Ovis aries: one gene and its partner. The protein of the gene in region 1 interacts with the protein of each later gene in a pairwise test. Links are inferred from orthologs where the notes say so. Each region holds a gene or a part of one and is shown in the gene's direction. Other genes may lie near its edges.

Region 1 (10,303 bases):
GGGGTACTTGTGGTCCCAGCCAGCGGTGGTGCTAATGGCAGGGCCTCTGGGCAGGCCCCGAGTGCTGGGGCACTTGTGGTCCCAGCCAGCAGTGGTGCCATGGACACCACCCCCCAGAGCCACCATTGTACCTCTCTGCGGTAATCCTCCTGTCAACTCGCTCTCCAAACCACACTGGGAAACCATTCTGCAGGAGCCTCTAGATAAGCGTGAACAGTTTTGAGTATAAAGAAAACAAAGCCACAAGAATCACTGATGAAATCCCGTCATCCTAACGGTCACAGTATTTTCAGAGGTCCTAAGATCACTGGCATCTCTTTGCTTTTCTCTCTCATTTTAAGCAGAGGGAGTTGAGTTTAAAATTAAGTTTTTCCCTGAGAGGGAGCACCTGTTTAAGAGTGAAATCCAGTAGCATTAGAAGCTGCTGAGAATTTAGAGACGTGGCACAGAGAGGTAGTTAAAGTGAACAGCATAGTAGATTCGTTGTTGCTATTGACTTTTATGCCCTTTGGTTTAACTTTCACGTAACTTACAGGCTGTGGAGACACCAAGAGTTTCCTCACAATTCCTTGTTAGGCTTTCATCTAATAGACCATATGTTGTAAGCAGACACTGAGCCAGGCTGCCCGCTGAACGTGTCATCACCTTACCCTGTTACCTGGCCTCTCCCATTCTCGTTTCCTCCTATGAAAAGTAAACTTGGCTATAATAGAGACCTCCACAGGGCATTATGATGGCTGAATCAATCCACAGAGGTTAACTGCTTAGAACAGTCCTGGCCCATAGGTGTAAGTCTCTATAGGTGTTAATAATAATTACCAGGATTAAAACATGTGGTCTTCCTCTGACTTCTCCAGTCTGTTTTTCCTCAAATGAGTGCAAGAATGGTGTAACTAACTTGACAGTCAATCATCTGGGCTCTGGATCTCCCTTCTCAAAGGTCTGCTGAGTTTATATTCAGAGAAATGCATACAGTAGGTAGCCTGGGTGTAAAGGGGTTACATCTGAAAGGGAAAGGGTCTATAGAACCTCCCTTATTAACATATAATTTACTAACTTATAAGGAATTCTTTGGGGCTTCCCAGATGGCGCTAGTGTTAAAGAACCCACCTGCCAGTGCAGGAGACATAAAGAGACTTGGGTTCAGTCCCTGGATTGGGAAGATCCCCCTGGAGGAGGGCATGGCAACCCACTTCAGTATTCTTGCCTCGAGAATCCCTTGGACAGAGGAACCAGTCTATAGGGTTGGCAAGAGTTGGACAGGACTGAAGCCAGTTAGCATGCACACGCACACACAAGGAAGGCTTCTAATAGCAAAATGAAAAGTTGGCAAGCACGTCTTCCTCAAATGAGTTCTCACAAGTGTCACTCATTTTTGTGTGTCTGAAATAAATAGGATTACATTCAATACATGTGCAGAAATAAATGGTTTCGCCAAATTTAGAGTTTTCTCTCTGCCTCGGTTTTAAATATAGAACCACAGCATCCCTTGCAATGTCTCATAGACCAAGTCGTAGTGATGTTTTCGTAATTCTGTGTATCCTATTGCTGTCCCCCGTGTTTAACTGGGATCATTAGCTGTGCTTTCAATCTTTAGATGGTAAAGCCTTGTTCCTGCCACATTCCTTCCTATAATAAATTAGCAACCATAATACCTCTGGAATCTCATGGCATCACCAATTCTCAGTTTATTTGTCCATGACCACAGTGTGTGTTTCCCCTTTTCTTCGTCATTGAAAAATGAATTCATTTGTAAGTCAAAACGAGCCAGGTCCAGATGTTGGCAGCCCACCTCCGTACCTGTTACTGATTGTAGTCAACCTTTCAGAAGTTCGCCCAGCAATCAGTCATCGTCCAGCGACCCCGGACCAGGCAGCAGCGGACCCTGGAGACCACAAGTTGGATACGACGGGTACCACTCCTTTTCCCCTTTTGTGGGCTCCTGGGGGGACATGTCTTCAGGGCACATTCAGAAGCACTTACTGTGCACAAGGCCACTGGGGACAGAGAGACTCAGATAGCACTTTGTTAGGGCCAGTGCTTCCAGACTGGGTAGCTCATTGTTTCTGTGAAAGTGGACTCATTTGTCTATATTCTGAACTTGTCTGTTTTCTTTTCTTTTCTTCTTAATAAGGGAGAGTCTTTTTGAACACATGAAAATTAAGAATTTGGAGACTCTGTGGGTGATGGCCCTTGGGAGTTTCCCTTCACTTACATTGCTGACGAGGAATAAATTCACAGTCTTTCTTGAAAGTGTTTTTCTCTCTAAAACACAGCCCAGAGTCTGAGGAGGCAGATTTAGCATGTGACACATTTCCTCTGCCTCCTTGAGAGCAAGTGGAAGCTGGGGGCAGGGCTGTCCCTTGTGTGCACACAGTGCCCAGGGGCCTGAGGGCACCTATGGACAGGACCCAGGATGGATGGACGCAGTAACTCAAGGAAAATAGCTGCACACTCTTGGGAAGAGGAGGGCCGCCCCAGGAATGTGGCTGTATTTTTATAAGGAAATGCAGGTGTTGCCCCCAGCAGCAGTGTTTCTGTGCATTGTTGCAAGCCAGTGTTGCCTCTGCCACTTGAAGGAGCTGGGTGCACTGCTGAGATGATGGACTGTCCAGGCAGCTGGGGGGCCTTGCACCAGATAAGAGACGCTTCTGTTCCTCCTCTCACATGTGCCCAGGGAAACCCTCTCCTGGGACCCTCTCTCCTTCTGGTTTGGGCTGAGAAGTAGAGATTTATAGTCCGAGTTATATGCATTCCCTGCTTTAGATGCTGGATGGGGTTCTTAAAAGTTGTACTTTTTTTTTTTTTTTTAAATTTTTGAGATGGTTAGATAGCCTCACAGATTCAATGGACATGAATTTGAGCAAACTCTGGGAGATAGTGAAGGACAGGGGAGCCTGGTGTGCTACAGTCTATGGGGTCACAAAGAATTGAATATAACTTAGAGACTGGAAAACAATAACAAAAATGTTGTACCTAAAGAAATCTTTCTTGTTTGAGTTGCATTTTTAAAGTAGATGGGGGAGGCTTTATGTCAGTGGAAAAAGCATGTCTTGGCTTTTTCTGCAGATCAGGATTTAGAACTGGAATTCTGGAAGAAAGGGTCCCTTTATAACATGAATAAGCTTTCTGCAGTTTCCTTTGGAAGAGTAAATTGTCCTATTTGGGGATTTTCATAAAGCAAAAGTCCGGCCAGATGTAGTCTAGCAGCAAATGGATCTGATTTTCTTTTTCCTTAAAAAAGTTGATATGAAGAAGCATCAGTACATGCACTCAGGAGAAACAGTGGCAGCAAAAGCAACGGGCTCGTGTTCAGTCCACAGGGACCCGAACAGTCCTTTCAGCCCCTGGTGCTGGCCGCCTCCTCTATCTGTAAATGGTGTCATCCGGGTGCCTCTTTGGACCCAGGGGTGACAGAGGAGCCCCCAGGTCCAGATGCTCTAAGCTGCTCTGTCAGGCAGAGCTGCGGCAGCAGAGAGCCTCTGACGAGGGATCCCTGGGGTTGCCCCTCGGAACCAGCACCCACAGGGACACTGGCGAGACAGCGTGCGGGCGCGCCTCAGCTCTGTGTTCTCTCCAGGTGCCAGTCTCCCCTGCTGCTGGAGCACCAGGGCTCCGGCCCCTTGGAATGTGACGGAGCCAGGGAGCGGGAGGACACCGCGGAAGGGAGCAGACACGCTGGTAACCCGGACTCCCGCCCCTCGCGTGCCCCTCTCCTGCCCCTTCCTCCCCCTTCACTGGTTCACTCATCCATTCCCGTCTGGCCAGCACCATCCTGCCCTGTGCAGGGTAGCTGCTGGGCCCCCAAGGTCATCCGGGATGTGCTCGTAGCTGGTGGTGCCTGGGAAACTGACCGTGAGCATCGTGGGGTGGTTCTGTCTGCTCTGAGGACCTCTCTGTGGGTAGGACCAGAAGGTCCTACAACCAGTCCTGATGGTGGTCACTGAACCACAGTGTTTGGCCCCTGAGTTTCTCTGCTCCTCTGTTAATGCTAGAGATTAGATCTTTAAGGCTTCTCTCTCTGTGTGTGACAGAAACCAAATGGCATGGCCCGCCTTCCAAAGTCCTGAGCTCCTATAAGGAAAGAGGCCTGCAAAAGGATGGAGGTTGCAAGGATTCTCCCAATAAGCTTTCTCACGTGAGTCTTGTCATGAACCAACGCTTCTGTTCATCTCAGCACTCGTGTTTTATTAGCATTGTTGCCAGGGATTCTCAGTGGCATCACTTATCTCATAAGGGTCTCGGGTGAAGTTAAAAAGAAAAAAAAAAAGTGGGGAGGTTCTTTTTTCTCTCTCTCCTTTCATAAAGAAATACAGAGAAAAGTCATCCCGTAAACTATTGGCAAAGCCAGGACTGTAACCTCAGCCTTTGATGCTTGGTGGTTTTAATCTGTTGACTATTATCCGCATGTGGGCAAAATACAGAAGCAGAACCTGTGCGGCAGGGTGTGCGGTGGGTGATGCTGTGCCTGGTACCGGCCGCTCAGGGAGCAGCTGCAGACGGCATGCAGGGACACCGGCAGCAGCCACCTGCCAGGCTTCCCGGGGTCCCACAGCGCCCATGTGGTTCTGTTTACTCTTTGCAGAAATGAAAAGGAGCCATGTAGGTGACTGTAGCTCAGTGAAATGAAACTACCAGTTAAATGTGCAAACAGGAATTTTAGTTGTTGCCAGATGAAGCCAACCTTATAAAGTAGCTCATTTTTCAAAATTTGCAGACGTCTTATCAGGTCCTGACCCAAGTTGTTCCTTTTCTTCTCCTCCTCCACGTGTCATTGGCCAGCCTCAGAGCTGTTACCTGCAAACATGTGGCCTCCATCTCTCAGCTTGTCTTGAGCCGGCCTCGCGGAGCCAACTGATGGCGCCAGCACACGGGCAGTGGGGGAGGGGAAGGGTGAACTTGAGAAGATCCACTTGTGATAACAGAGGGCATCGGGATTTGCTTAAGGATCTGATAGGGTGGAGGGAAAGAGGGAAGAAGAGAGGGATGGAAGGAAGAAAGGGAAGACGGAAAGAAGGAAGGGCCAGACCACTTGAAAATCACAGGTGGCTGGGTCTCGTGACTCCACAGCCCTAGGCTGACCATCCAGGCTGAGAGGAGGGGTCGTGTCTGTACCAGAACATCATCAGATGGGACGTTTAGTCTGCTCTCTTGGTTTCATCTTCCAGGGACCTCCGTGCACCCCCAAGAGCACCCCATCTCATCAACCCCGGGTCTCCCCTGACTGGGGCTCTGGGGGTGGGTGTGGATCATGCTTAAACAGTGCTTCTGCACGCGTGAACTGGTTGGGTCTGCACAGTAATCCCTGTGCTCAGTATAATAAGCACAGAGAGGAGCTGAGTGACTGGCCAAGATCCCCCCTACTGTGATTCAAACCTGGGTCTTCTACCCCACACCCAGGACTGGCCCTGTCCCTTGTCACAGGAGCATTCTCTGAAGAAAGGCTGTTTCCCTCCTCTTAATTCCCCATGTACTTCCCCAGCTTCTAGAACCTTCGTTAACTGCTTTCCGATTAGTGACAGTGTGGCAATACTTTTGTGTTGATGTACAGATAATTGAACAAAGACTTGAAAAGATACCCATTTAACTTAGGATGAATGATGGGAGGAATTATGACTCAGGGACTTTTGCATGAAACCAGGATGTTTTTGAAAAGTAAATTCTTGCCTTGCTTCCTGCTGACAAGCGAGTAGAAAGGGTTCGGGTGAAATCATCAGGTCTGTAGCTTCGTGAGTCTGGGGAGAATAATCGCCTTCGTGTAGAAGCAAAGTGTAGGGTTTGTCTGAAGCCTCCCCATTTCTCTCCTCTCAAGATCGGAGATAAAAGCTGCTCCAGCCACTCCAGCAGCAACACGCTCTCCAGCAACACCTCCAGCAACAGCGACGACAAGCACTTTGGGTCTGGGGACCTCATGGATCCCGAGTTGCTGGGGCTGACGTACATCAAGGGGGCCTCCACGGACAGTGGCATTGACACGGCCCCGTGCATGCCTGCTGCAGTCCTGGGCCCCGTGCACCTGGCGGGCAGCCGGTCCCTGATCCACGGGCGGGCAGAGCACTGGGCCGACTCTGACATCCCGGGGCCCGACGACGAGCAGGCCAGGATGTACGCAGCCCATGGCTATGCGCCTGGCATCTCCACCAGTGGGGCTGCCGACGGCAGCCTGGGCGACCTCAGCGAGATTTCGTCCCACTCCAGGTAAGGACCTCCCCATGCTGTGACTGGCAGCTACTCGGCGCTGTCATCTGCTGCTGGGGTGGGGGCAGGGGCCTGAAATAGGACCAGAAGGTGCCTGAGATCATTGTCACCTGTGGGCCAAACTGCCTGGCTTCAGATGGAGGGCTTATGTCCAGAGTCTCATTTGAAATGTGCATGTGAACAAGTTTGTGATTACATCTTCCTTTCTCTTTAAATTGGAGAGAAAATGAAACAGATGCTCACGGCAGTCATCAGGCTACTCATGTTTCTCTGCAGTTCAATGTGTTGTCCCTGGGACTTCCCTGGTGGCCCAGTGGTTAGCACTCCATGCTCTCACTGCAGCAGGCGTGGGTTCGACCCCTGGTTGGAAAACTAAGATCTCATGCGCCTCCCAAAAGGTGAAAGGTTCAGTTTGTTGTCCCAGATTTTCAGGAGGTGTGGTACCAGCTGGACGGTACTCAGATGACGACGGACAGTAAGGAGGGGTGGTCTCTGTGTTGCCGCCTGAAAGCCTGTGCCCCATTCTCCTGTTCCACGGGCCCCCTTACACAGCTGTGTGCTGGAAATGTGTTCAGATTGATGATCCACTTTCTTTTTCAATATAATGACTAGTTACATTTAAAGGAATTACGTTCTAACTGTAGATGTTTAATATATTTTTATGAGTAGTTTTCAATTCCCATATGACAAAAGTGTACAGTGACTTTAAAATGCATCACTGGAGATTCCTCCCCTCAAAGACTAAGCAAAGAGCTGCATTGATACAGGTTTGGCCGTGGCTAGAATTTCCTGCACACCAACGACCCCTGTCATTTTCCTTCTTGTCTGCAAAGCCTTCCCTCCTTCAGCTGAGTCATCGTCTGACTTTCCCCCAGAACCCTTCCAGGTGCTGGACTGTAGCCAGATGAACGGTGATAGGGCTGTCCCTCCAGGCATCCAGGGCCATGGCCAGTGACGATGCTCAAGGCCGGCACTGGGCTCAACAGGCAGGCCTTGTGCTCCTTGGCCCTGCCCTTCACTCCACCTGCTCCTCATCCTCACGTGGTCTCTGCTGAGCCTGGAGGGATGAACCAATGGACCATAGCGAGGCTCGCTGTGACCTCACACGGACACGTGAATTGCATCGGCCATCCTCTCAGTTGAGGCAGAGACCTCATCAGCGGTGCCTTGATTTTCATGACTGATACCATGGGATATGTCTCATCTTGTTGAAAAAAGTTTTAGACTTCTTAGTTCAGTTCAGTTCAGTCGCTCAGTCGTGTCCGACTCTTTGCGACCCCATGAATCGCAGCACGCCAGGCCTCCCTGTCCATCACCAACTCCCGGAGTTCACTCAGACTCACGTTCATCGAGTCCATGATGCCATCCAGCCATCTCATCCTCTGTCATCCCCTTCTTCTCCTGTCCCCAATCCCTCCCAGCATCAGAGTCTTTTCCAATGAGTCAACTCTTCACATGAGCTGGCCAGAGTACTGGAGTTTCAGCTTCAGCATCAGTCCTTCCAAAGAACACCCAGGACTGATCTCCTTTAGAATGGACTGGCTGGAACTCCTTGCAGTCCAAGGGACTCTCAACAGTCTTCTCCAACACCACAGTTCTAAAGCATCAATTCTTCGGCATTCAGCTTTCTTCACAGTCCAACTCTCACATCCATACATGACTACTGGAAAAACCATAGCCTTGACTAGACGGACCTTTGTTGGCAAAGTAATGTCTCTTCTTTTGAATATGCCATTTAGGTTGGTCATAACTTTCCTTCCAAGGAGTAAGCGTCTATTAATTTCATGGCTGCAATCACCATCTGCAGTGATTTTGGAGCCCCCAAAAATAAAGTCTGACACTGTTTCCACTGTTTGCCCATCTATTTCCCATGAAATGATGGGACCGGATGCCATGATCTTCATTTTCTGAATGTTGAGCTTTAAGCCAACTTTTTCACTCTCCTCTTTCACTTTGATCAAGGGGCTTTTTAGTTCCTCTTCACTTTCTGCCATAAGGGTGGTGTCATCTGCATATCTGAGGTGATTGATATTTCTTAGTCCTGGAAATTAACATAAGTTAATTTTTTTACATAAATTGAAAGGGCGAAGATGCCTGCACACACACACATGCTTGCTGCTGCCTTCCTGCTTTTCTTTTCCTGTCACTAACATCATCATCTGTGTCTTAGTAGCACAAATGATCATTTTGTAACCTTCTAATGTTTGTTCAAAGTGTAGCAGATTTGTAAAGCGGCTGGTTTTCTGATAACCTTGCTAGACAAGTGTAAAAGGCATCACAAACAGAATTTTGCATTACTGTTGAGGAAAATTTCTGCTTTCAGAGCACCTTCATTTATGAGTAGAGTTGGGATATCAATAGGGACTTGAAGTAGGATTTCTGGAGTACCTTGCTGCTGCTGCTAAGTCGCTTCAGTCGTGTCCAACTCTGTGCGACCCCAGAGACGGCAGCCCACCAGGCTCCCCCCATCCCTGGGATTCTCCAGGCAAGAACACTGGAGTGGGTTGCCATTTCCTTCTCCAATGCATGAAAGTGAAAAGTGAAAGTGTAGTTGCTCAGTTGTGTCCGACTCCTAGCGACCCCATGGATTGCAGCCTACCAGGCTCCTCCATCCATGGGATTTGCCAGGCAAGAGTACTGGAGTGGGTTGCCATTGCCTTCTCCTCTGGAGTACCTTAAGCATCCATTAATGTGATGGGTCAGATGAGTAGAAAGAACTGGGAGGTGCTAGACTGCATTTCTGGCTGATGTTGCTCCTTCCCCGCCCCTGCTTTACGCTGAACATGTGCACAGCGGTTGTAGAAGGGCCATGGGCCACGTGAGGGTCTTCTTTGCCACCCAGAAGCCTTTTTCTTGCCATTCTTAGTGGACAGTGACTTTAAAGCCACATTTCGACTTCAGTTGCAGGCTTTTGTTCATGTGGAATTTGTCAATAAATTAAATCTTTTGAGCACTTCTTCCTCCTGTCTGTCCCCTGCAGAAGGGCTAGAGAAAGTAAATTTAAATATTCTAATTTTTTAGTTTTAAATTTGTTTAATGATTTTTAATTTTAAAATGTTTTTAAGTATTTTTAAGTGCTGTCTATATTAATATTTTATATTTAAAGTAAGATTTGAAATATTGGTGTGTCGAGGCAAAAGGAACTTGGCTCATTAGCGCATAACAGACCTAGCTACCTCAGCGGTGCTGAGACTTGGCAGATCCAGAAATGCTGGGGCCCAGCCTGGGGCACCCGTTCTCCGTGATGATGAGTGTCGTCAGCTGTGCGCTTGTATGGTCAGCTCAGAGCTGAGGCCCACTGCCCAGGGTCTCAGTTGTAACCAGGAGTGGTCCAGGGAGTGAAAGAGGAGAAGAGGCTCTCAGGGGCTGGCATCGGCACTGAGCATCCTGGCTAGTTGCCCCCTGCCCCGCACACTCTATCTCACCTTGTCTCAGCTGCTTCTCAGCACTCCCGCCCTGGCTGATGTCGACCGAATAAGGGAACTCTCTACTTTCAGCTTGTGACAATCCTTTTGTTGTGCGGGGAGCCCTCGTTCACCTCTGGAGGCCAGAAACCGCTGATGGCTGTGACGTTTCTTGCGCTGTGACGTTTCTTGCCCACCGACGTGGCAGCAGATCTTTTCATTCCACAGTGAGGTGGTCTGTGCTCACAGCTTATCCTATCCCATCCGCATCGCCCCCCACCCCGGCTGCAGTCTTCCCTTCAGTGAAAAGCCGGGGCCTGTCTCCTGCACTTGTACCCGCAGCACTTAGCACAGGCTCCTAAACGTGGGAGGCATTGCAGTGTTTGTTGAATGCGGGAAGGAAGTCTAAGAAGACTGTTGATAAGCATTTGTTGATTGAGTTAGTAAACCAGTGCCTGGATAGCCAAGGGAGATCGGAGGTGCAGAGGTTAACTGTGCCCAGTGTCCGGAGCCCAGACCTGTATATGAAACACCCTTCACGCTTTGATTCTGGGTTTTCGTCACCAGCGACCACTACCATCCCCACCAGCCCCGCCACACATGCACATGCTCCCAACAGCCATCCAGGAATAAAGCAAGTGTGAGTTGTGTATGTGGTATTTTTCTGGGATTGTACTGAGAACAGGGAAGAGATTTACAAC
Region 2 (10,303 bases), about 25 Mb from region 1:
GAATTGAACCCATGCTGCCTGCATCTCCTGCATTGGCAGGCGGATTCTTTACCACTGCATACCGCACAATTACTAGAGTATAGAAAGTTTAAGATTCTGCACCATAGAGTATATGTTACCTCCTTCAGGTCTTTATTTTACACATATAAAAGATGCATTAAAGAGAAAATAAGTGTATTTGTGAGATTTCATGCATTATGGGCCCTTGTACTTGTGTTGCAAACTTCTAATTTTGCTTTAATTCTTAAGTATAGCTAGAAATTAGAGCTATTCAGATGACAATACTCTTTTGAAAGTATCAAAGTCTTCTAGAGAAAAATTTCTATGAACTGTTAAGTACCACTCCATGTATATACCCCATACATACTCCATGCATACTATCCACCATTGCAAACTCCTTTCCAAGCGCACTGGCCTAAAAAATGGGTAAGCAAGGTCTATAAGAAAGTGATCTTTCCATTATTCATCCTCATCCTCAAGAATAAGTGTCAGGAGAAATTTAAGGAAAGATAAGATGAGATTTTTTTGTTCCTAAAATGTAAACTCTGGATGAGAAACTGAGGGGAAAAAATTAAAACATATAAATAACAGTGTAAGATTCTGAAAAACAATTCCATAACTTTATAGACAGTGTCATGACATTAGAGGGTACACATCATGTGCTATTAAATGAAAAAAAGACGGAATGTGGAATACCTTGTGGGCCAGTGGTTAGGGCTTGGTGCTTTCACTGCTGGGACCTGGGTTCATTCCGTGGTTGGAGAACTAAGATCCCACAAGCTATGCAGCACTGCCAAGAAAGGAAAAAAAAAAAGCGCACAATCATAACAAGTTGCCCATAATTATAAATAAATATCCCCACAAAAAAATTCTAAAGTTTATAATACACAATAAAGATCAAGAGAGTGGTTCAGTGGGTGAAGTAATCTCTCTTGAACTGTAGTGGGTGGCCCTAGGGCAGGGATCTGGAGAATCAAAAGAATTTAGGAAGGGAGGGAGGAATAAGAACATTCTTCATAGATAGAACCATATGAGAAAACACACAGTGGAAAAATCTTGAATTGTTTTAACCTGTTTAATAGAAGCAGAGCTGTTTTTCAGTTGAGTCATGAGATAAAAAGTTAAGTTGAGGAAGTCCTTGAACACTAGGCTAAATATTTAGCTTTTATCATAAAACCAGTGGGATAGCATTTCAAGGTTTTGAGAAGGAAGATTAAAGCAGTGTTTTTTAGAAAATTCTGGAAAGCAGCAGCGTTGGAGACGGGATCATCAGCGTAATCACACTACAAAGTTGTATGTATGATTGGACTGCAACTACAACCAGACATGGGTTTGAACTGCAAGAGTCCACTGAAATCTAGATTTTTTTCGATAAATACATGTTATAGTACTACACAGTCCACGCAGTTGATTGAATCTGTTAATGCAGAACCACGTTTTGAGAAGGCCAACTATAAAATCATATATGGATTTTCATCTGCACAGGAATCAGCACCCCTAAAGCCTGTGTTGTTCAAGGGTCAATTATATATTTTACAGTGAAATCAAAAAGAAAGCAAAATTATCAAAATAGAAGAAAAATAATAGATGCAACCTGCTCTGAGGGGGAGTGTGTGTCGTGTGTGTGTGTCGCTAAGTCGTGTCTGACTCTCTGCGACCCATGGACTATAACCCGCCAGGCCCCAGGCTCCTCTGTCCAGCGTGTGTGTGTGTGTGTCTGTGTTTGTATGCCGCTAAGTCATGTAACCTGCCAAGCCCCAGGCTCCTCTGTCCATGGAATTTTCCAGGCAAGAACACTGGAGTGGGTTGCCATTACCTTCTCCAGAGGGAAATGTTTGAAGAAATACATACACCAAAATGTTAATAGTAGCTATATTTCTATAATAGGAAGATAGTTTTTAGCTACTTTTCTTAATTTTTCACTTGTTGTTGTTGTTGTTGTTAAACATGTACTACTTTTGAATTGGAAATGTAAATTAACCAGAATGTTAAAGTGTCACAGCTCAAGGGTATATGTTTTGGACAACCAGACTTATTTTCAGACATATGTCAGTTAACCAGGAAATTAGCCAGATTTTGAACATTTTCCATATCACATATGGGTACCATATGAATGTGCTGACCTTAAAATGTTAAAAGGCCAGAGTATGTTCTTCATCCAGTTACTCCACATCCAGTTACTCTCCACATGAGAGGCCTGTTTGGCAGCATCTCATGTATAATTCAAGCTGAACACCAAATGGCCTACTTATCACTCTGTACTCTCAGTGCAAACATTTAATCAGCGAAGGATTTTGAAACATGTCGCCTGTTTTCATTAGTGGCAGCAGGAGGAGATTCCGTAGTTGAGCCACTGGAATTAGGTTAGGCTACTGTAGCACACAGGAAGCAGAAGATAAGCAAATGAATTTAACCTGGCTTGGCAGACAAACACAGGACCATGTGGCCTATTTCTGTCTTCTAGAAATTTGATCATGTTGATATGGATATGTCTCTGACAATTCTGTAAACCATTTACAACTTCAGTGGAGAGAAACTCAAACATTGAACAAGCAGCTAAACTATTTGAGGGTTTTTTTTTTCTGACCGTTTTATATGTTAGCTTTGCTTTCTATTTTTCTGATTTCTAGGCAGTAGTAACGTTGGGGACACACTCCCCACTGGGCAGCTGTCCAACATTCCGTGGCGCCGCGCAGGGGTAAAGTACACAAACAATGAAGCCTATTTTGATGTTGTTGAAGAAATAGATGCAATTATAGATAAATCAGGTAATTGGGTGCATGTTTTCTTATCGGGGGAAAACCATTCAGGTGACAGAAGCGGAACAGAAAACTGATATCCCTTGGCAGTATCATGTACCGGAAAGGCATTCGTTTTCAAATCTGTTTATTTTGCCCAGGGGTTACATACAATTTTCATAACCACTAGTTGAGAAATGCCAAACGTTTGTAAATCAGAGTAAATAACCTTACTTTAAGCTAATTATCGTGTATTCATTTATCTTGCCATTTATCCAGCCTGATATGTAGTGTATGTCTACTGTGCACCATACTTTTTACAACCACTTTGTGTGCAGTCCTTCTAGTAAAGACCCCAGACTGAAGAACAGTACTGTATTAGAATCGTAATATTTTACTAAAGATATCTAGTCCAACTCTCACATGTTATGTATGGGGAAACTGAGACTTAGAAGAGTTAAATAACCTGTTAAAGGTCACACCACTAGTTGGTATGTGAAAATGACTTACTGTGAATTACAGACAATTATCTCTACAGTGAGTTGCATTTTTATTATAAAAATTCCATTGTATGGAATAGTTGCTGTACTGTTAAAGAATTATGGTTCCTACTTTTTAACATTTCATTAGAAACTTGGCTAATTTTATTTAAAATATTTGAACTTCAAAAAAAAAAATGTTCAAACAAACATTATTTACAGTTGCCAAGATGTGGAAGCAGCTTAAGTATTCATCAACAGATAAATGGATAAAGAAGATGTATATATGTACACAATGGAAAATTACTCAGCATAAAAATGAATGAAATTTTGCCATTTGCACAACATGGATGAACTTGAAGAACATTATGCTAAATGAAATAAGCCAGATAAAGAAAGATAAATACTATATATCACTTATATGTGGAATCTAAAAAATACAACAAACAAATGAATTTAACAAAAAAAAAGCAGACTCACAGATACAGAGGACAGATTAGTGTTTACCAGTGTGGAGTGGGGCAGTAAAGGGGTGGGAGAATGGGAGGTACAAACAGCTGGGGGTAAGACAGGCTCACAAGTACACTGTAAAACACAGGGAATATAGCCAATGTTTTGTAATAACTATAAATGGAAAGTAACCTTTAAAAATTGAATAGTTTTTTTTTTTTTTAATTTTAAAAGTCAGTGGAAAAAAAGTATTTTAACTTCACATCCAGCAGTCTTACAAGGCTGACTCTATAAAGATAAGGATGGGTTTGATTTTCCTTAGAATCATCCTGTTCCAACCGGAGACAGGAACAGCCTTGGCACTCAGTAAAGAAGTTGTCTAAACTGGTGTAATGGATCCTCTGTCCACTAACCTTTTAATAGATGTACAAAGCTTCAGTATGTCTGACACCTGGGAGATATCTCCATTACTTCAGATATAGTGATAGCTCTAGTAGGGTAGAGCTACTTTACTAGAATGCATGCATATTCCAGTGATACCTTTATTATTCCTTTAGGATCTACAGTCTTTGCAGAAATTCAGGGGGTCATCGATGCTTGCATTAAGCTCTCTGGAATGCCTGACCTTTCCCTCTCTTTCATGGTAAGTTTTGCTCTGTTTTGTAACTCCTTCGTGCCTAATATATATGAAGTACTAAATGAAATGATAAATACTGATACATGCTTCTTTCAGATCACATTGGATTATGTAAGAAGTATTCCTAGCACAGCTTCCAAAGACAGTAGCTTACATGATGAGCACTGCCTTTATGGATAGGCTGTGGAGAGGCTTTGCCTCTGAGTATGTTAGAAGTAGCTTAAATGGCTGGCTGGCTGCTGCGGATATGTAGTGCTGCTTTTACTGAGTTGTTATATGCTCTGTTGGTATGAAAAGGCATTGATCTTTTCATCATTTTAGATTCGGCATACTACACTACTGAGAACTGCTAAGAGAACTGAGCCCTGATGCTGTCTGTGCCTCTAACTTGTCCTGGCCTTGAGCTTTCTTTGAACCTCAGTTTTTTCATCTATGAAGTGGAAATGAAACCACTCACATTTTCTACCTCATGGGAATTACTGGAATTGAATTATTGAAATTCAAATAATAATGTATATAAAATATTTGTACACTTGAAAGCATTGTGAAACGATAAGCCTGAATAAACTTACATGACTGCTTTATCTTAAGGAAGCATATTTCTCAGATCTCATAATATATCTGACTAGAGTTGCCATATTCGTTTTACTTTATGAATATGCTTGTCTTCTCTTTTCCATGGCAGAATCCAAGGCTTCTAGATGATGTCAGCTTCCACCCCTGCATTCGGTTCAAGCGTTGGGAATCTGAAAGAGTTCTGTCGTTTATTCCTCCAGATGGAAACTTCCGACTCATATCATACCGTGTCAGCTCACAGAAGTATGTTGTTGTATCAACCATAATCTCCTGTCATCTATCAGTGTGCTGTGTAGAACTCACTTTTTCCCTGTTTCATTCTAACAGTTGGTTACTTGAATTCACCATTGCTCCCTTTAGCCATTGCTCACCAGGAGACCCAGAACAAACTGGTGAAAATATATGCGGAAAATATAATTAGTATACTTTGAATCTTAAGAGTATAGAGTAATAGTAAATATATACCTTAGAGCAAGCACTTGGGACCATGCATAACCTGGACGAAACCATGAACCCATGCCATAATTTTACTATGATCTGTGGACATTATGGCTGATAGAAGGAGACAGACTTACCTGTAGTTCTCCAGGACATCCCTCAACTAACTGGCTTGAAGTCACTCTTCTCTGCACTGAGGTTTAAATGAATGATTTAGCATCCTGGGTTGTAGCTGGTTTGTCCCTTGAAAACATCAGAAAGTATTTGGACAACATCAAAACAGAACTTAAAAGCAGAGGAATTTTTTCTTGGCTCTTATCACAGAGAAACTGATATATTTAGTTTGTGTAATTCGAAATTATCTTTCTCTGGGATCTTAATTCATTTCTTGAAACCAGGACTGTTTGTGCCAATTATTGATGCTATAATTTTATCTTGATTTGTATACTTACTGCTCAGAAATTGTATAATTTCTGGCACAGTGGTTCCACAACACCGCTGTACTCAACTGCCCTGGCTCAGATACTGAACCTGCGGTTCTGCGGGTATTGGATATTCTATACTAGGGTTTTTGTGCCACCTCCAGAGCTCACACTATTAATTGTATGTTTTTTGTGGTTGTGTCTGTCTTTCTCTTTTTAGTCTAGTGGCAATACCAGTATATGTGAAACACAGCATCAGTTTTAAGGAGAACAGTTCTTGTGGTAGATTTGATATTACAATTGGACCAAAGCAGAATATGGGGAAAACTATTGAAGCAATCACGGTGACCGTTCACATGCCGAAAGTTGTGTTGAATATGAACCTGACACCAACACAAGGCAGCTATACTTTTGATCCAGTTACCAAGGTACAGTCACCTAAAATCAAGAGTGAGCAAGTGTTTCTGCAATCCTTATTTTGTGATTTGGGGACATGGGAGGACAGAGGGAAGGGTCTAATATCTTGGTTGAAATTAAAGCTCTAACAGCCTAGAATGCAGATTGTGCTGTGCTCTGCCACAGGAGAGAATCTTGCATCTGCTGCTAAGTTGATGAGCAGAAAAGTGAGATTCATTCCTTCTTCCTTCAGAATCTGCCTTTTCTTATACATTGATAATCCAGAGGTTCACTAACTCTTCAATGAGGAAGATATAAAAACTTTTTAAAAAGAGAAAAGCATTATGTGCATATAATAATCTATTAATGGTTAATAGATATTACAGTGTATTAATTGTTAAGAAATTAAGATCTTTCTCTTCCTTTTTAATTTAAAAGCATTATTTCATACTCTTCTACAGAGGATGCTGACTAGGAAAGTTGCCTTCTCACCCTCTATATGTTTGCCTCTAGCAGAGGGAGTTCAGAGAAACTGTAAAAGCTGATTTTTCTCTCTGCTTCCTGCTTGGGTAAAGGAATGATTCTTTTCCTCAATAGAGTCATTGAGCTGCATAGTAAATGAAAAGTCTTTTTTTATTTAACTATAAAATCATTGAATGTTAAAGATCATCTAATCTATTCCTAAGAAGTCAAAGAATCTCCCCAGAGACCACACAGGGCTGAGAAATTAAGCAGGAGCTCCAGATCCCTAGCCTTCACCCCAGCTTCAACCATAACAGCTTTATTTTCTCATCTGTTACTGAGCTCCCTCACTAGGTATTTCATTTGAACAAAGGGTTCCATCACTAAAAGTTTAAAAGCACTGATTTAGGCCCATCTTCTCATTTTACAGAAAACTAAACTTAAGCCCAGAGAGAAACAGTAAAGATGGCATAGTGGAAAGGATGTTTGATACCAGATAGCCTTAGGGTCAAATCCCAACCTTTCCTCTAGCTATGTGACCTTCAGCAAGTCATCTGACTCCAGCTTTAGTTTCTTTGTTTGTCAAAATTAGACAAAGTTTTACATCACAGACTTCCGAGACAGCGTGAGAATAGTGCTGAGCACAGTATTATATCCAAAAGTAGATGCTCAACAAATGCATCTACTCCTTTTTTCACTCCCCATTCAGAGTCACAGAACTAACTAGTGGTAAAACTCAGTGGGAATCCCAGGTCTCTTATTCCAAGACACTGTGCTTTATTTTCTACAGAAGTTTATGGTCTTTGAACCTTGTCTTTGAACATTTGTCTTTAATAAATAGTTCAGAATGTTTTCTGTTTTTTTCTTTCTAAGGTACTAACGTGGGATGTGGGGAAAATCACTCCACAAAAGCTCCCCAGTCTTAAAGGACTGGTAAATTTACAGTCTGGGGCTCCCAAGCCAGAAGAGAATCCAAGCCTCAACATACAGTTCAAGATCCAACAGCTTGCTATTTCAGGTAAGGAGAAATTTGATGTGTGTAAGGGTTAACTGAGTTTTGCTGAGGTCAGCTGCTAGGAGCTTCGAAGAGTAACTGACATTCCGTCTCTTCAAAGAGCAACTACTCCAGTATGCCTCTCACTCTCCTTGATTTTTGAGAGTGATTTTGGAGAGCACCTTATTTCACATAGCTTCCCTTCACCCCTACCCTCATTCAGGCACAAAGAAAGAAATCATTTATACTCAAAGAAAGTAGAATTATCCTTAAAAGACATTGCTTGTCCATATGGGAATCTGAACTAAAATCATACCCTCCTAGTACTTGAATCTGTGAATGCTAGAAGGAACATTGCTTCCAGATCTTGAAATGGACACTGGCTAATGTCAGATTTACTGTATAGTAAACTGTTTCTTAAGCAAATATTGTACTGGTTGGTGTGACCAGGACTGTAATTTGTTCCTTTCCTTATGTGTTCTTTTTGACACAGGCTTAAAAGTAAACCGCTTGGACATGTATGGGGAGAAATATAAGCCATTTAAAGGAGTCAAATACGTCACAAAAGCTGGAAAGTTCCAAGTGAGGACATGAGAAGAGGCCAGAATTCCTGAAGATTTATTTGTTTTCCAGGCGTCATCACAATGTATTACTATTAGGTACCAATTGGGTGGGAATACATATTCTAGTTAAAGCATTTATGTCTAGCCACATACCGCTAACAGAGTTGCTTAGTTATCGATGCAGGGTTCTTAAGGAACTTTAAGCTAAGGAAACTTCTGAATGACTTAGCTTATTTGTACCTTGTCACTTAGGAAAGTTTTAGAGGTGATTTCCTCCATAGGAAGGCACCAGCTAGAGGCTGCACATTTTCACAGTCAAGGCAGAAGTCTACAGTGATAACCTCTCCCCTAAAACAAGTGAACCGGTCTCAGCCAGCAGACGCTGTCTTAGTCTGTAACGTGATGTATCAAGTGGAGCCAAGTGTCACACTTGATCGTAGCCATCCCCAATCATCTGTCCCAACAGAGGAATAGTTCCTCCCACCCAAGAAGTTTACAAAAAACTGCCTCTTCAAGTGTTTGCCTTATTCAGCTTTTCACTTGTGCCATTAAGCAAGCACTGTAGCAAAAGCCACTCCACATGGCCCTGGCAGGGAGCACTGCTGCTCCATGCTCCATTCTCACTGTACTTGGTATTGTATTTTTTATAAATAAGATTTTTATGTAAAGCTGATTTTGATTTATAGGGACCTTGCTGCAGGAAGTACACTCTCAGTTTTGTGCCACTTAGCTCATCTGTTAGCACAGTAAAAGTCATTTGTATCAAAGGGGCAAATGCTCTAAGGTAATAAAAGGGAACACTACTTCTACTTCTGCTTTTAGGAAGTTATTGCAAGCACAAGCATTTGAGATTTTGAGCAAACTAACATAGTAAAAGAGAAACTTAAGTGAACCTTTGCCGTCTTCATGTTTTATAAAGCTTGTCTGATACCACTTAGAACCAATTAGCCTAAAGCCCTCATGCCCTAGTTCAGCTAAAGGAAGAAAATGTGCCTGCCTCAATACTGTCAAATTATTATTTTTTTAATCTTTTATCTTTTTTCTTTCCTTTTCTTAATGGATTCAGTTTGCCTACATTCTTTGCTTTCAGGGGGACTCCCTTTACATAGTGTGTGCTACCCAAGGCTATAGTCAAAAGATTCCTCTCTGAAACTATTGTTGAAACTGTCACTGGAATACTTAAATATCTCTACTCTACTGACCAAGTAGGTGAAAGTACATATATAATAAGGCAGAAACAAAATCCTCAGTAACATTGATAAACCTGTATTGATCTTTGTGGTTGGCGAGTCAGCCCGCAGTTATCTTTTAACTTGGATGACTTAGAAGTCCTTGCCCACTTATTTTGGTTCATTAGACATGAAGAATAAAGTTAAGATCTAAGTGCTTGTTCTTGCTATTAGTTTTCTCCCTGTAACTCCATTCATTTTGTTCTTCTCAACTTATAATTCCCTTTCCCATATGCTAACAGTAGCCCTTCCACTCACCCCATTCTCCTGTCAAGGGCTGGTGGTTGGTGCTGATATAGGGAGCCCACTGCACAGCAGCATTCTTTGCTGCCTATGGCACCAAGCCTGCCTTCCATCTAATCTGAAAGATCACATTTTGCAGTTTATAGGACAACCAGTATCAGCTTGGCAGCTAAAATTAAGATGTTGCCAAATGTTTATTCCCTTTGCATAAGGTTGGTTACCAAGTTCAGTTGCTTTTCATTTTAATGTCTTCCTTTTCAGAGTTCATACCTCAAAAGAGCGATCAATACATTTGTTCTTCTTTCTGCAGAATCCCTCAACCATCCATATATGGACTAATTTTCTTTCTCTACTACCCTCCCAAATCCCAGCAGATTGTATGCCAAGAGTCCTTTGCCTCTAGTAACTTCTGCTAAAACTTCCAAGGAGACTGTTTCCTTTTATAATTAAATTATTGTATTTATTAATTTGATGGAATCCAGTAAGTCCTTTCTCCAGCTCTGGCTACACTGTCAATAAAAAGATGAAAGCAACAAGTTGACTTTTTTTAGCTTGACTGTTAATTGAGCATTCTCAGATGCACATGCCTCAGTGTTCAAATAGGCTGAAAATGAAACTCGCTCCGTTGTGTCTCTTTGCAACCCCATGGTATACAGTCCATGGAATTCTCCAGGCC

Evidence for each region. The genes of interacting proteins can lie anywhere in the genome.
Region 2: the proteins of SIPA1L2 (region 1) and AP3M1 interact in binary tests that used the Homo sapiens proteins (3 or more experiments, as listed by UniProt). The two-hybrid records come from large-scale screens. The link is inferred for Ovis aries from reciprocal best matches to the Homo sapiens genes SIPA1L2 and AP3M1.

What each region holds. Positions count from the first base shown.
Region 1 is NC_056078.1:4,618,804-4,629,106, reverse strand, and holds part of SIPA1L2 (signal-induced proliferation-associated 1-like protein 2), read left to right. Parts: intron 1-1,828; coding exon 1,829-1,912; intron 1,913-3,580; coding exon 3,581-3,681; intron 3,682-4,034; coding exon 4,035-4,138; intron 4,139-5,812; coding exon 5,813-6,198; intron 6,199-10,303.
Region 2 is NC_056078.1:29,208,405-29,218,707, reverse strand, and holds the end of AP3M1 (AP-3 complex subunit mu-1), read left to right. Parts: intron 1-2,630; coding exon 2,631-2,768; intron 2,769-4,224; coding exon 4,225-4,310; intron 4,311-4,989; coding exon 4,990-5,123; intron 5,124-5,960; coding exon 5,961-6,168; intron 6,169-7,471; coding exon 7,472-7,616; intron 7,617-8,085; coding exon 8,086-8,186; 3' UTR 8,187-10,160; downstream 10,161-10,303. UniProt on the Homo sapiens protein: Part of the AP-3 complex, an adaptor-related complex which is not clathrin-associated. The complex is associated with the Golgi region as well as more peripheral structures.